3 linked regions of the Xenopus tropicalis genome follow. The protein of the gene in region 2 interacts with the protein of the main gene of each other region in a biochemical or structural test. Links are inferred from orthologs where the notes say so. Each region holds a gene or a part of one and is shown on either strand. Other genes may lie near its edges. The genes, in order: angpt2, tek and angpt1.

The links.
Region 1: the proteins of tek (region 2) and angpt2 form a complex in vitro, tested with the Homo sapiens proteins (7 studies listed by BioGRID and IntAct, with this or other methods). The link is inferred for Xenopus tropicalis from reciprocal best matches to the Homo sapiens genes TEK and ANGPT2.
Region 3: the proteins of tek (region 2) and angpt1 form a complex in vitro, tested with the Homo sapiens proteins (6 studies listed by BioGRID and IntAct, with this or other methods). The link is inferred for Xenopus tropicalis from reciprocal best matches to the Homo sapiens genes TEK and ANGPT1.

What each region holds. Positions count from the first base shown.
Region 1 is NC_030681.2:97,085,269-97,088,768, reverse strand, and holds part of angpt2 (angiopoietin-2), read right to left. Parts: intron 1,305-3,500; coding exon 1,072-1,304; intron 1-1,071. UniProt on the Homo sapiens protein: Binds to TEK/TIE2, competing for the ANGPT1 binding site, and modulating ANGPT1 signaling. Can induce tyrosine phosphorylation of TEK/TIE2 in the absence of ANGPT1.
Region 2 is NC_030677.2:122,336,257-122,339,931, reverse strand, and holds part of tek (angiopoietin-1 receptor), read right to left. Parts: intron 3,637-3,675; coding exon 3,446-3,636; intron 3,319-3,445; coding exon 3,205-3,318; intron 2,052-3,204; coding exon 1,981-2,051; intron 1,695-1,980; coding exon 1,654-1,694; intron 1,075-1,653; coding exon 978-1,074; intron 552-977; coding exon 452-551; intron 1-451. UniProt on the Homo sapiens protein: Tyrosine-protein kinase that acts as a cell-surface receptor for ANGPT1, ANGPT2 and ANGPT4 and regulates angiogenesis, endothelial cell survival, proliferation, migration, adhesion and cell spreading, reorganization of the actin cytoskeleton, but also maintenance of vascular quiescence.
Region 3 is NC_030682.2:133,256,513-133,260,251, forward strand, and holds part of angpt1 (angiopoietin-1), read right to left. Parts: intron 946-3,739; exon of another isoform or gene 942-945; coding exon 709-941; intron 1-708. UniProt on the Homo sapiens protein: Binds and activates TEK/TIE2 receptor by inducing its dimerization and tyrosine phosphorylation.

The sequences.
Region 1 (3,500 bases), on a different chromosome or scaffold from region 2:
TGCTACAGTCTCAACTTTGCTGTGGTGGGGTGCTTTTGTTTTGGTTACCTTTAGGCAGGGGTCATGTTCATAGCCAAGGGGCAGGTGTGGAAATGCTGGAAAGAAAACCCTCAGGGTAACTCACTGCTTGGTGGCCAATGAGTGTCTGTAACTCTCTTGTAGTATTATGGAGTGTTATCAGTGACATTCAGTGGTGTACCTTGCTCCATACTAAACAGTTGCATTTTACAGTTACACCGCACAGATATTTAGTGAAGGCGAGGAATTTTCCAATTTGACTACCCTGTAAGGGCCCAAGCAACTTTACCTGTGAGCCGCAACACAAACATGAAAAAGTTCCTGAGGGTGTCAAATAAGGGCTGTGATTGGCTATTTGGTAGCCCCTACAATATAAGTGCTAGTTCTCAGATCAGGTGCTGGGTGAGTGCTCCAAAAGGTAGTCTTTAAGTTTCGTTTTAATAAGACTGAGAGAGGATTCTCTCCGGAGGAAATCAGGGAGGGCATTCCTAATGTAAGAGGTTATATTACTTGCTTAACATTCCTGAGATCAAGAATGAGACATTTAAATAATGCACATAGAGTAAGATTATTTTATTGATTTGACTTTGTGCACTCTGAATGCAGAAAGGTACATTAAACTTTTACTAACCGTTTGTATCTGTATGTTATTCTAAGTGCACTGAAGTTCTTATGGTGGTGCCTACTACAATAAAATATTATACCTTCTGGAAGGTCTTACAGTCCATCACTCTTTCTTTGTCAAGTATTCATTTTTTATATTTTCTCATGTGCAAAGAATATATCTGTTGACAGATGCAGTTTTTTGCATGAGTGAAGTTCCTGGCACAGCCAGGTGGTCTGCACTAAGGAATGGATGGCAAACAGGAAAATTAAAGCAGACTGAAAATAATTTGTTAAACTAGGCTCATTTACTTGGGAAGGTTTGTGTGCAACTTTTTTATTTGTTCCAGGCTTTTATTTGCCTGTAGTGAATTATGCCATTTATGTTTTTACAGTTCTAGCCCCCTCCTTTACTAATTATGCACTTTTTAGTGTTCTATCCATACTTACCATTCTGAGGTGCCATCCTAGTCAGGAGATTGTGTACCGTTTCCATCAAGTCATGCTGCTGTTTTTGCAGAAAGGAGTTATTTGCTGATGCTGTTACAAGTTGCTTTTCTAGATCCTCAATAATAGTATTTTGCTTCAGCACCAAATCTTGAAGTTTATCCTTTTCTTCCTTTATTGTCTGAAGTTGTGCCGTGTGCTTGTCCTCCATGCCTAGGACTTTCTTTTCTAAAAAGCTGAAAAGAGGTATTTATATTACATACAAATTATGATTATATGATTAAACAAGCTAGTATAGGTAAATATAAATCAATACAACCCTTGTCAAAACAGTGTATAAGATTCTATTTGTGGGCTGTGTGCATCTTCTGTTTTGGAACTGAATGCCAATGCAGTTTTTCTTTTTTAAAGCCATTTTTTACTTTAAAAACACATGGAACTACAAACTATTGTAGTGGATACTATAGATCAGGGAAGCAGAAGTTAACATACTTTTTAGTAAGGAACCACAAATCTGGGTGAAAGATTTTAGCTGAATTCAGACTATAACATATATTCATTCTGACAATATGTTATTAAGTAAGTACAGGTATCGGACCCCTTATCCGGAAACCCGTTATCCAGAAAGCTCCGAATTACGGAATGCCCGTCTCCCATAGACTCCATTTTAATCAAATAATTCAGAATTTTAAAACTGATTTCCTTTTTCTATGTAGAAATAAAACAGAACCTTGTAATTGATTCCAACTAAGATATAATTAATCCTTATTGGATGCAAAACAGTCCTATTGGGTTTAATTAATGTTTTATTGATTTTTTTGTAGACTTAAGGTATTGAGATCCAAATTACGGAAAGACCCCTTATCCGGAATACCCTTGGTCCCGAGCATTCTGGATAATGGGTCCTATACCTGTACTTATGAGTAAATAAGAAAAAGTCATAAAATTCACACATTTACAAGACAAAGCATTGATAATATCTTTGGTTTTCTCTACTTTGGTTTTATTATCGTTATTTCATTTATTTGAAAAGCAGAAATTTGGCTGGTTTCCATTATTTATTTAATAACTTCTTGAAAATAAAAGACTTAATTTTGATTACTATACAATGCAACTGTTACACATGACCAATAATAACATGGTTTTAAAGTGTTTATTTTAGTACGCCTGTGTCCATAAACTAGTCTTTATAAACTAACACTCTTTTAAAAGCAACAAAACGGCTTGTTTAACTTTACGGTGGTTCTGAGATGCATTGTGAGAATTCTTGTGGTCTGCACACTGTTTAAGGTTGTGTATTGCTGCTTCTTAATGAGACTACCTCAAGCTGCTTACTTACGTTGATATCTCATTCTTCAATAATGAAGAGGGAGACAAAAGGCTTGTGATTTGACAGCTCCAGAAGGCCTTAATAATCACTTTATATTCTAGAACTAATCCTTTGACTGGTAGGTTTAATTGGCTTGTGTATAATATGTAGTATTATTTTAGTAAATGTTCCACTTAAATTCAAAACTGTTAGTGTGTAGATTATTTTTTCTTATCGCTGTTTCAGAGTATAATTCTCTCTTTCAGACTTTATAAATATTCCCTGCACAGGAACAAACGTATTAGACAGCAAGGAAATATTATGTCATTGTGTCTGTGGAAATGCTTTTTATCTCCGTTTTGAGGAAGAACCTATGAACTTTGGCACAATTGCTGTTTTATGAAAACAGATGGTATTTCCTCTATTGATCACTGGGGAAATGAGTACTATTGCTGAAATAATCACCTAGCGGTGAAAAACATTTTCTATGGTTGTTTGCAGACCAGTAATGTTGCATGAAAAGGAAATATGTAGCCTACAGCTATGCAGTAGCATTTAGAACAAATGTGTCCTTTAGAGAAGACTGATAGCGTTGTGGCTCGTGTTCAACATATGGATCCCTAACTAGTCTTTGCAACTCTATTTTCTGTGTCTCTGAAATTTAATTAAGACATGCTATATAACTGCCCTTATTTTTTCCATTAGTCTCAAAACCATGTTTACATTTACAGCGTATCTCAGCTGACTTAGAAGTTACCAACAAAACTGGCTGAAAACAATAGTTCTGAATTTGCTCCACATGAAAACAAGCTTCAGCAGATTTTTTGCTGAAAATAACTAGTTTTAAGTGGTTTGAATTACTGACCAGAGGAGAAATCCCACTATGTGCCATTATACTAAACAAATAGTTTTTTTTAATTATTCAAAAAACCTCTGTTGGTCCACTTAAATTTAAACATGTACAACAATAGCGTTTATGCTAGCACATGCATGCTCTGAAAAACAAGCATTAGGAGGAAGGTTTTGCTAGTGATACATCTGGGTCACTGATGCAACCAGTGTGTATCATTGGGAGGAAATTCTATCAAGACGCATCTTTTTGTGAATGTTTCCATGGGTACCA
Region 2 (3,675 bases):
GATCTAATCTGCAAGATTTTGAAGGGATTGGATATAAGGTATTAATGTGAATGTGGAACCAAACATGACTCCAACACAGCAAACCTGCATACCAGATTCAATGATAGCTTTGTTTAGGGCATGTGTGCATGTGTGGTAATATAGCAGAGAAGAGGATATAGCAGAGAAGCTATTAGACGCTTGGGATATGACAGAGGGGAAAAGATCAAGAGATGGGCATGATTTGGGTGTCATCAGCATATAGATATTAAAACCAAAGGAGCTGATGACTTGACCCAGAGATGCAGTGTATAATGACAAGAGTTTGGTCCAAGGACAGAGCCTTAAGGGACCCAACAGAGAGCTGGTGAAGAGGTTTTATCCAAAAATGAGACATAGCAGGAGCGGTTAGAGTGGTATGACTGGATCCAGGTTCTCTGCAATATTAAAAAAACAATGTGCAAGTCTTTACCTTTCTTTCTTCCAGCATTCGGTTAAGGGACACCACAATTTTGGCAAATGATGGTCTTTCATATGGCTTCTCACGCCAGCACTGCCGCATGAGGTCATACCTTTATTTAAAAAAGACAAAAAAAGTAACGATTTTTGCACAAATTATGTATAGATGGTATAGATCAATTCCCTTAAACAACACAGTGATCTGAAGCACCTGGCAAAGTTTTGCAAGTATTTTGGATCATTTTAGCTGCGCAATACCAAACTCTTCACTAGACACTATTATGGCAGCCAAAATGTACTAGGAACTTGCCAATTTAAACCAGTTGTTTTTTTTTTTTTTGAACACTGAGGTATATATATATATATATATATATATATATATATATATATATATATATATATATATATATATATATAGAACCTAATATGCATACTTTATGCAGGTTAGTAAGTCCTGGCCATTTTTGCATGTGCCTGTATACTGTATAATAGCACCACTTATTATTCATTACAGTTTGTCAGTAAAGTCTCTTACTTACACTTCATCATCACAGTTCAGAGGCTTCTCAAGTCTGTATCCTTGTGGAAGCTTTTCATAAAGTTCTGCACATGTCAGCCCACAATATGGTGTTCCACCTTAAAAAAAAAAGGCATAATTTACATATTTCGGTGGTATTTGCCATAAAATGGCAATTGCAATAATATACTTGTTACATATACATACACAGTGAAACATGTTTTAATCTTCTGAATGATCCGTATAGGGGTTCCCAAAATAGGCCCCATTAAAGTATTTTGGGCTTTATATAAAATGTTTGTACTGCACCTAAAAAGCAGCAATGAAGTTGAGGTTTAAATCAGTAAATAGCAATAGTGTATTTATTCATTTCTAAGCCAATGAAGTCAAATTTGGTCCACCTGTCACCACTATATGTTCTTCAGGCAAGCATTTCTGTGGAAATAGGTGAAAGGTGGAGGTGTTTTGCCTGTTGCAATTTTCCACCTTAGATTGGCCCCATGTGCCACAGACTTAAGAGCTGACTTTATGTAAAGTAATAGACAGGCGCTCAACTTATTAATATGAAATATGAACCTACTTTTCTGTCTGTAAACTGATATTAGGGAATTATTTTCACCTTATAAATCATCTCACTTATTTACAGAGCTGTGATTTTTATTTATGTGAGTCAGTGACCTAAATATATAAGCACTTACCCAGGCTTACAATTTCCCACAATAATACTCCAAAAGACCATCTATAAAGATATATTCAGAAAAAAAAGATTAATTTCATGCAGATTTACTAAACAGATTACATAACCATCAACATAATCATGTTATGAAATATGACTAGGAATAAGCGCTAAAATGATTAATTAAGGATAACATTTAGTCAAAGTAAAACATTATCAATTTATCATTTTTTCTGGCATTAAAACGATTTGGCTGCCTCATGATAAAATTGCCCTAGTTTTTAAACTGAGTTTGTTGGGAGGCATTATTTAATGTGAGCTTGATATATAAAGTTCTAAAGTTACTTACACATCACTGTTTGATGTATAGACACTGTAGTTCAAAGACTCAATCGCCATCCATCGAACAGGAAGTCTTCCCTGTTAAAAAAAGATATTTAGGTTTTTTTACTATTTTTTTTATTTTTATTTTAATATTACTCATAGCAAGTACAATGTTCTCATTACGAACATTGTCAAAAAGAAAAGGAAAACAAAATACCAAAATAATTACAATTTCAAATGATAGCTCCCATTTTTGTATAGTACAGTAAAAAAAGCAACAGATCTAAAGATTATCTGGTCCAGAGATATTCTTCCATATTTGCTGAGCTTCCTGTAAGTATCTTTTTCCTGAGATGCTTCTTGGTATTGCCATTTCATATTCTAGGTTGAGATTAACTTCTCTAATTAACTGAAAAATAATTGGTACATCTTGGTTTTTCCAATTTCTGGGAATTAGAAGCCTAACTTTATTTAAGATTTGGAAAATCTCTGTTTCCAGAGCTTTGTTTGGTATGCTGTCATATATGTTAGTAACATTGCTTCTGGGGATAAAACAAAGTTTTGTTAGAAGTAATTTAATAATAGAGAAAAGGCTGAAGACCAGAAGGTTTGGATATCAGAGCAGGTCCACCATATATGTAACAGTTTGGTGTTTTCTTATATTAGTGCTTTCTAAGGCAGGTGGGAAGGTATGTTTGTGCCCATAGCAGTAAGACCAAACTTTGCTCACTATTACATTTTATATCTACCACCAGAAAAATGTACCCTATAGATATCCGAATTACGTGAAAATAGTACAGAATTCTTGCTCTATATTTCTCTTCGAGAGTGAAGGCATTTTTCCTCCTGTTTTACTGTTTTTAAGCATTACTGACACAACTTGCAATTTAAACACTCATTTACTATAACCCTGTCACATTACATGTGGCAATCTTGGGTAAATGCAGTAGGAGGCATTTTTAAGATACTACCTTGGCATATAGCTATATCTATATAGAGAAAGAGATTTAAAATTTTACATTTTTATTTATTTCTTTTTTCTCCGTAATAATAAAACAATTGGCATTAATGGTAACTAAGCTGCATGAATCCACATTCATAGCAGAATAAACACATTACTGAAACACCCCCTTTTCTGAAAAATTCTAGGTCCCAAGCATTCTGGATAGAACATACTTATACCTGTATAAGAAATAAGCAGTATTTATTTTCATTTTAAGGATTTCCATACACAGTTTAGTTTTCTTACCATAGTTTTCTTTACATAAACTTCTTGTCCTCTGGATAAACCAAAATCTGCAATTTTTGCAACATAGTTTTCACCAACTAAAATGTTTCTTGCTGCTAAATCCCTATGAATAAACTATAAAAAAAAAAAAAGTTAAATTAAGGAAAAAAGTTAATGATATCCTTAAATTCAAGATAAAACCAGGAAAAGAATAATGATAGAAATTCTGTAGCTACTTTTTCAGTGTAATATAAATACCTACCTGCTTTTGGCTCAGGTAGTCCATACCTCGGGCCACATCTGCAGCAAAGTGTAGCAGCTGCTGGGAAGACAAGGTAGAGGCCGTGCTGTTGGCTATAGCAAATGCTGGGTCAGTTTCCAGTACCCGGCTTTTTCTTAGAAAGTCGAGTAAATTGCCATGGGGGGCATATTCAATAGCCAAATACAGGTAGCCTAAACAAAACAGAAAATTAAATGTAGTGAGCATAGGTA
Region 3 (3,739 bases), on a different chromosome or scaffold from region 2:
TGTACCAGTGAATTATACTCCTCTAGATATAGAAGGATTGTGCTTAAAAAAGTTGTGTTTCCTGCTGATTTATTGAGAAATTCCACAAAAACCCCACTAGCCCCGACCATCTGTTCCACTTCCTGCTGGTTGAATTCTCTGGATGAGCTGGGGAGCCAGCAGCCCTCAGTACACTGCACTGTAGCATAGGAACCAATCAGCAGCTAGGCTGACCTGATAGGGAACTGAAGCCTGTCTGTGCTTGTGTGAGTGCAGGGCTGTGATTGGCTCTCCCCCTCCTACTGTGCTTCTGGCAGGGACCATTAGGACACGCCCACTCTTCATTTCACACTGGACAGAGAAGTGATAGGATCTATAGGGAGCTCCAATAAAGGGGCCATTGTTACAGATAGGATTAATGTTTAGCCCAAAGTGAAACCAGCACCGTATATTATTCATAATTGCCTACAAAATTAGCGTTTTTCCCATTTATCCAATATGTCTCCTTTAATAAATACCAGACATTCGAGTTTTTGAAACATAATTCCAATTTGAGTTTTTTTAGCCCAAAAAACTTTGAATTGTGAAACAAAAATCAAGCTTGAAAGTTGATAAATCACCCCCTTGATGTATAGACATCAGAGCTATAAAGTATATAAGAGACCTGTATATCAGAGCAGAACAATGGTGCTCTCAAGGGCAATCCTTGGGAATACAGATGCCACTCACCTCCTTCCTTGGAACAGAGTTTAACGAGGTTGTGCACCGTCTCCATGAGCTCCAGCTGCTGTTTCTGCAAGATGCTGTTGTTGTTTGTTGCCTTATTCAGCTGCTTCTCCAGCTCCTGGATGATGTAAATCTGGCGGGACACTAGATTTTGCAAAGATTCCTTTTCTGTTTTTATGGTATTCAGTTCATCCTTGTGTCTCTCTTCCATTTCCACCATTTTGTTTTCTAGCAAACTGTGAATAAGGAAGAATAAAAAAATGGCAATTGAGCAATAGACAGAGCAAGAGATTTTACATTTTATTTGAGTAGTTTGAACATTATTCAGGGATTTTGTATAAGCATCTGTTTGACTGCCATTCTAATTTGCTGCATTGTTCCCTGACAAACTATTTTCAATGTACTAAATAATTTGTACATGAGCAGTCCATGACTTCTAGGAAGGGGATAAATGGTTATTGTGCCTGGGTAGCACCTCCCACATACATATTATATGCCAATGGCGTGGCACTACCATATTCCCCTGTGCTTTACTTAGAATTTATCAATTAAATATGTTGCTCCCATGAAGAACCCCTCCCCCATTTCTGTCGGACCCAACAGCAATACATATATAGCAGTGCTTGTCAAACATTTTCCGTTCAAGCACCCTTGATGATCCAGCCTTGGCTCAAGAGACCCCCTTAGTTCATGAAGTGGGTACTGATATAAAAAATAGTGACAAATCAGTCATTTCATCATCATTTTAAGAATATTTAGATCAGACAACACATAGTACAGGTATAGGACCCGTTATGCAAAATGCTCAGGACCAAGGGTATTCCGGATAAGGGGACTTTCCGTAATTTGGATCTCCATACCTTAAGTCTACTAAAAAATCAATAAAACATTAAATAAACCCAATAGGATTGTTTTGCCCCCAACAAGGATTATTTATATCTTAGTTGGGATCAAGTACAGGTACTGTTTTATTATTACAGAGAAAAGGGAATCATTTAACCATTAAATAAACCCAATAGGGCTGTTCTGCCCCCAATAAGGGGTAATTATATCTTAGTTGGGATCAAGTACAAGTACTGTTTTAGTATTACAGAGAAAAGGGAATCATTTAACCATTAAATAAACCCAATAGGGCTGTTCTGCCCCCAATAAGGGGTAATTATATCTTAGTTGGGATCAAGTACAGGTACTGTTTTATTATTACAGAGAAAAGGGAATCATTTAACCATTAAATAAACCCAATAGGGCTGTTCTGCCCCCAATAAGGGGTAATTATATCTTAGTTGGGATCAAGTACAGGTACTGTTTTATTATTACAGAGAAAAGGGAATCATTTAACCATTAAATAAACCCAATAGGATTGTTCTGCCCCCAATAAGGGGTAATTATATCTTAGTTGGTATCAAGTACAGGTACTGTTTTATTATTACAGAGAAAAGGGAATCATTTAACCATGAAATAAACCCAATAGGGCTGTTCTGCCCCCAATAAGGGGTAATTATATCTTAGTTGGGATCAAGTACAGGTACTGTTTTATTATTACAGAGAAAAGGGAATCATTTAACCATGAAATAAACCCAATAGGGCTGTTCTGCCCCCAATAAGGATTAATTATATCTTAGTTGGGATCAATTACAAGGTACTGTTTTATTACTACAGAGAAAAAGGGAATCATTTTTAAAATTCTGAATTATTTGGAAAATGGAGTCTATGGGAGACAGGCTTTCCGTAATTCGGAGCTTTCTGGATAACGGGTTTCCAGATAAGGGATCCGATACCTGTAATCACAAACTCACTCTAAATGATGCTCAAAATTGGCTTGTAGGATAACAAATTGCCATTCTCTCCAATTCTCACTGGCCTTCAGACTAAGCCACACTTAACACAGCATCACAGGGTACTGTAGTTATTAGATGTATCATATTATATTTGATATTGTAGATAGTGTTAATTAGTGATGAGTGAATCTGCCCTGTTTAGCTTCACCAAAATATTAGTGAAACGACAGAAAAATTGACCTTTTTGACTTGCGTGACTTTTTTTTTAAGCGTCTGCGCTCATTTCGAAGGGACCGCAACAAATTTGACACAACTGTGCCTATTTTTACGTGACCGTGCCTAGTTTGATGCGACTGTGACTTTTTTTGAGGCACGTCAAAATTTTTTGTGCTGAATTTTCACTGAAATTTTGCAAAACAATTCGCCAATGCCAAAATGCGGAAATTTGCTGCAAATCCATACCTGGCATAAAAATTCCCTCATCACTAATGTTAATGAACTATGTGTTGCAAAAGGTTATATTTTATGATTGCATCCACAGTAGGTCGCCCTACATGAACTCCCCTATTCTGTGTGTATTCCCTTCTAACTGTTGTCCACAAGTGTCATAGTATGTGCAGTAGAGAATAAGGGAAGAATATGTAGGGACCCATAGGGTTAAGCTCCCTATGGTGTTATCCCTTAACTTTTCCTTATCTGTGCTGTAATAGGGCAGAGCCCTCTACACTCAGATTACAGTATTAGGCTACCCCCTATAGGTTTAGCCCAGGTTGACCACTCCCCTTGGCAGACTATATAGTTTCTGGCACAAGGAAGTGTCTTCCTCTTTGGCTGCTGTTGTCCTAAGGCTGCACGTCACTGAGCCTGAGGCATTCGGCCCCAGTAAGTAGAACCTGCCAAATTGTAAGTCGGGGACAGGGCCCCGTGAATGAGATAAAGCCAGCACAGTCAGTTATATGTAATAGCACCCTCTAGGAGTGGTGAGCATAATCAGCTTATTTAGTAAGGGCAGCACTAGCCCCATCAAAGGAGACTGTAAGGGTTTAGTCTAACCCAGGCTTTGTATGCCTTGCTGTAGGGACCCCAGTTAAGACGCAGGATTCAGGCAGTTCCTTACCCTGAACCATAGTTGGCTGGAGGGGATCCGTTCCAGTAAAGGGCATCCATTCCTGGCATACAGCTAATACTCTGCATATCCTCCAAGTGGGCTATACTGTTACCTTGAGTGTCACTTCTGCTGTGTTCTCTGTGACCAA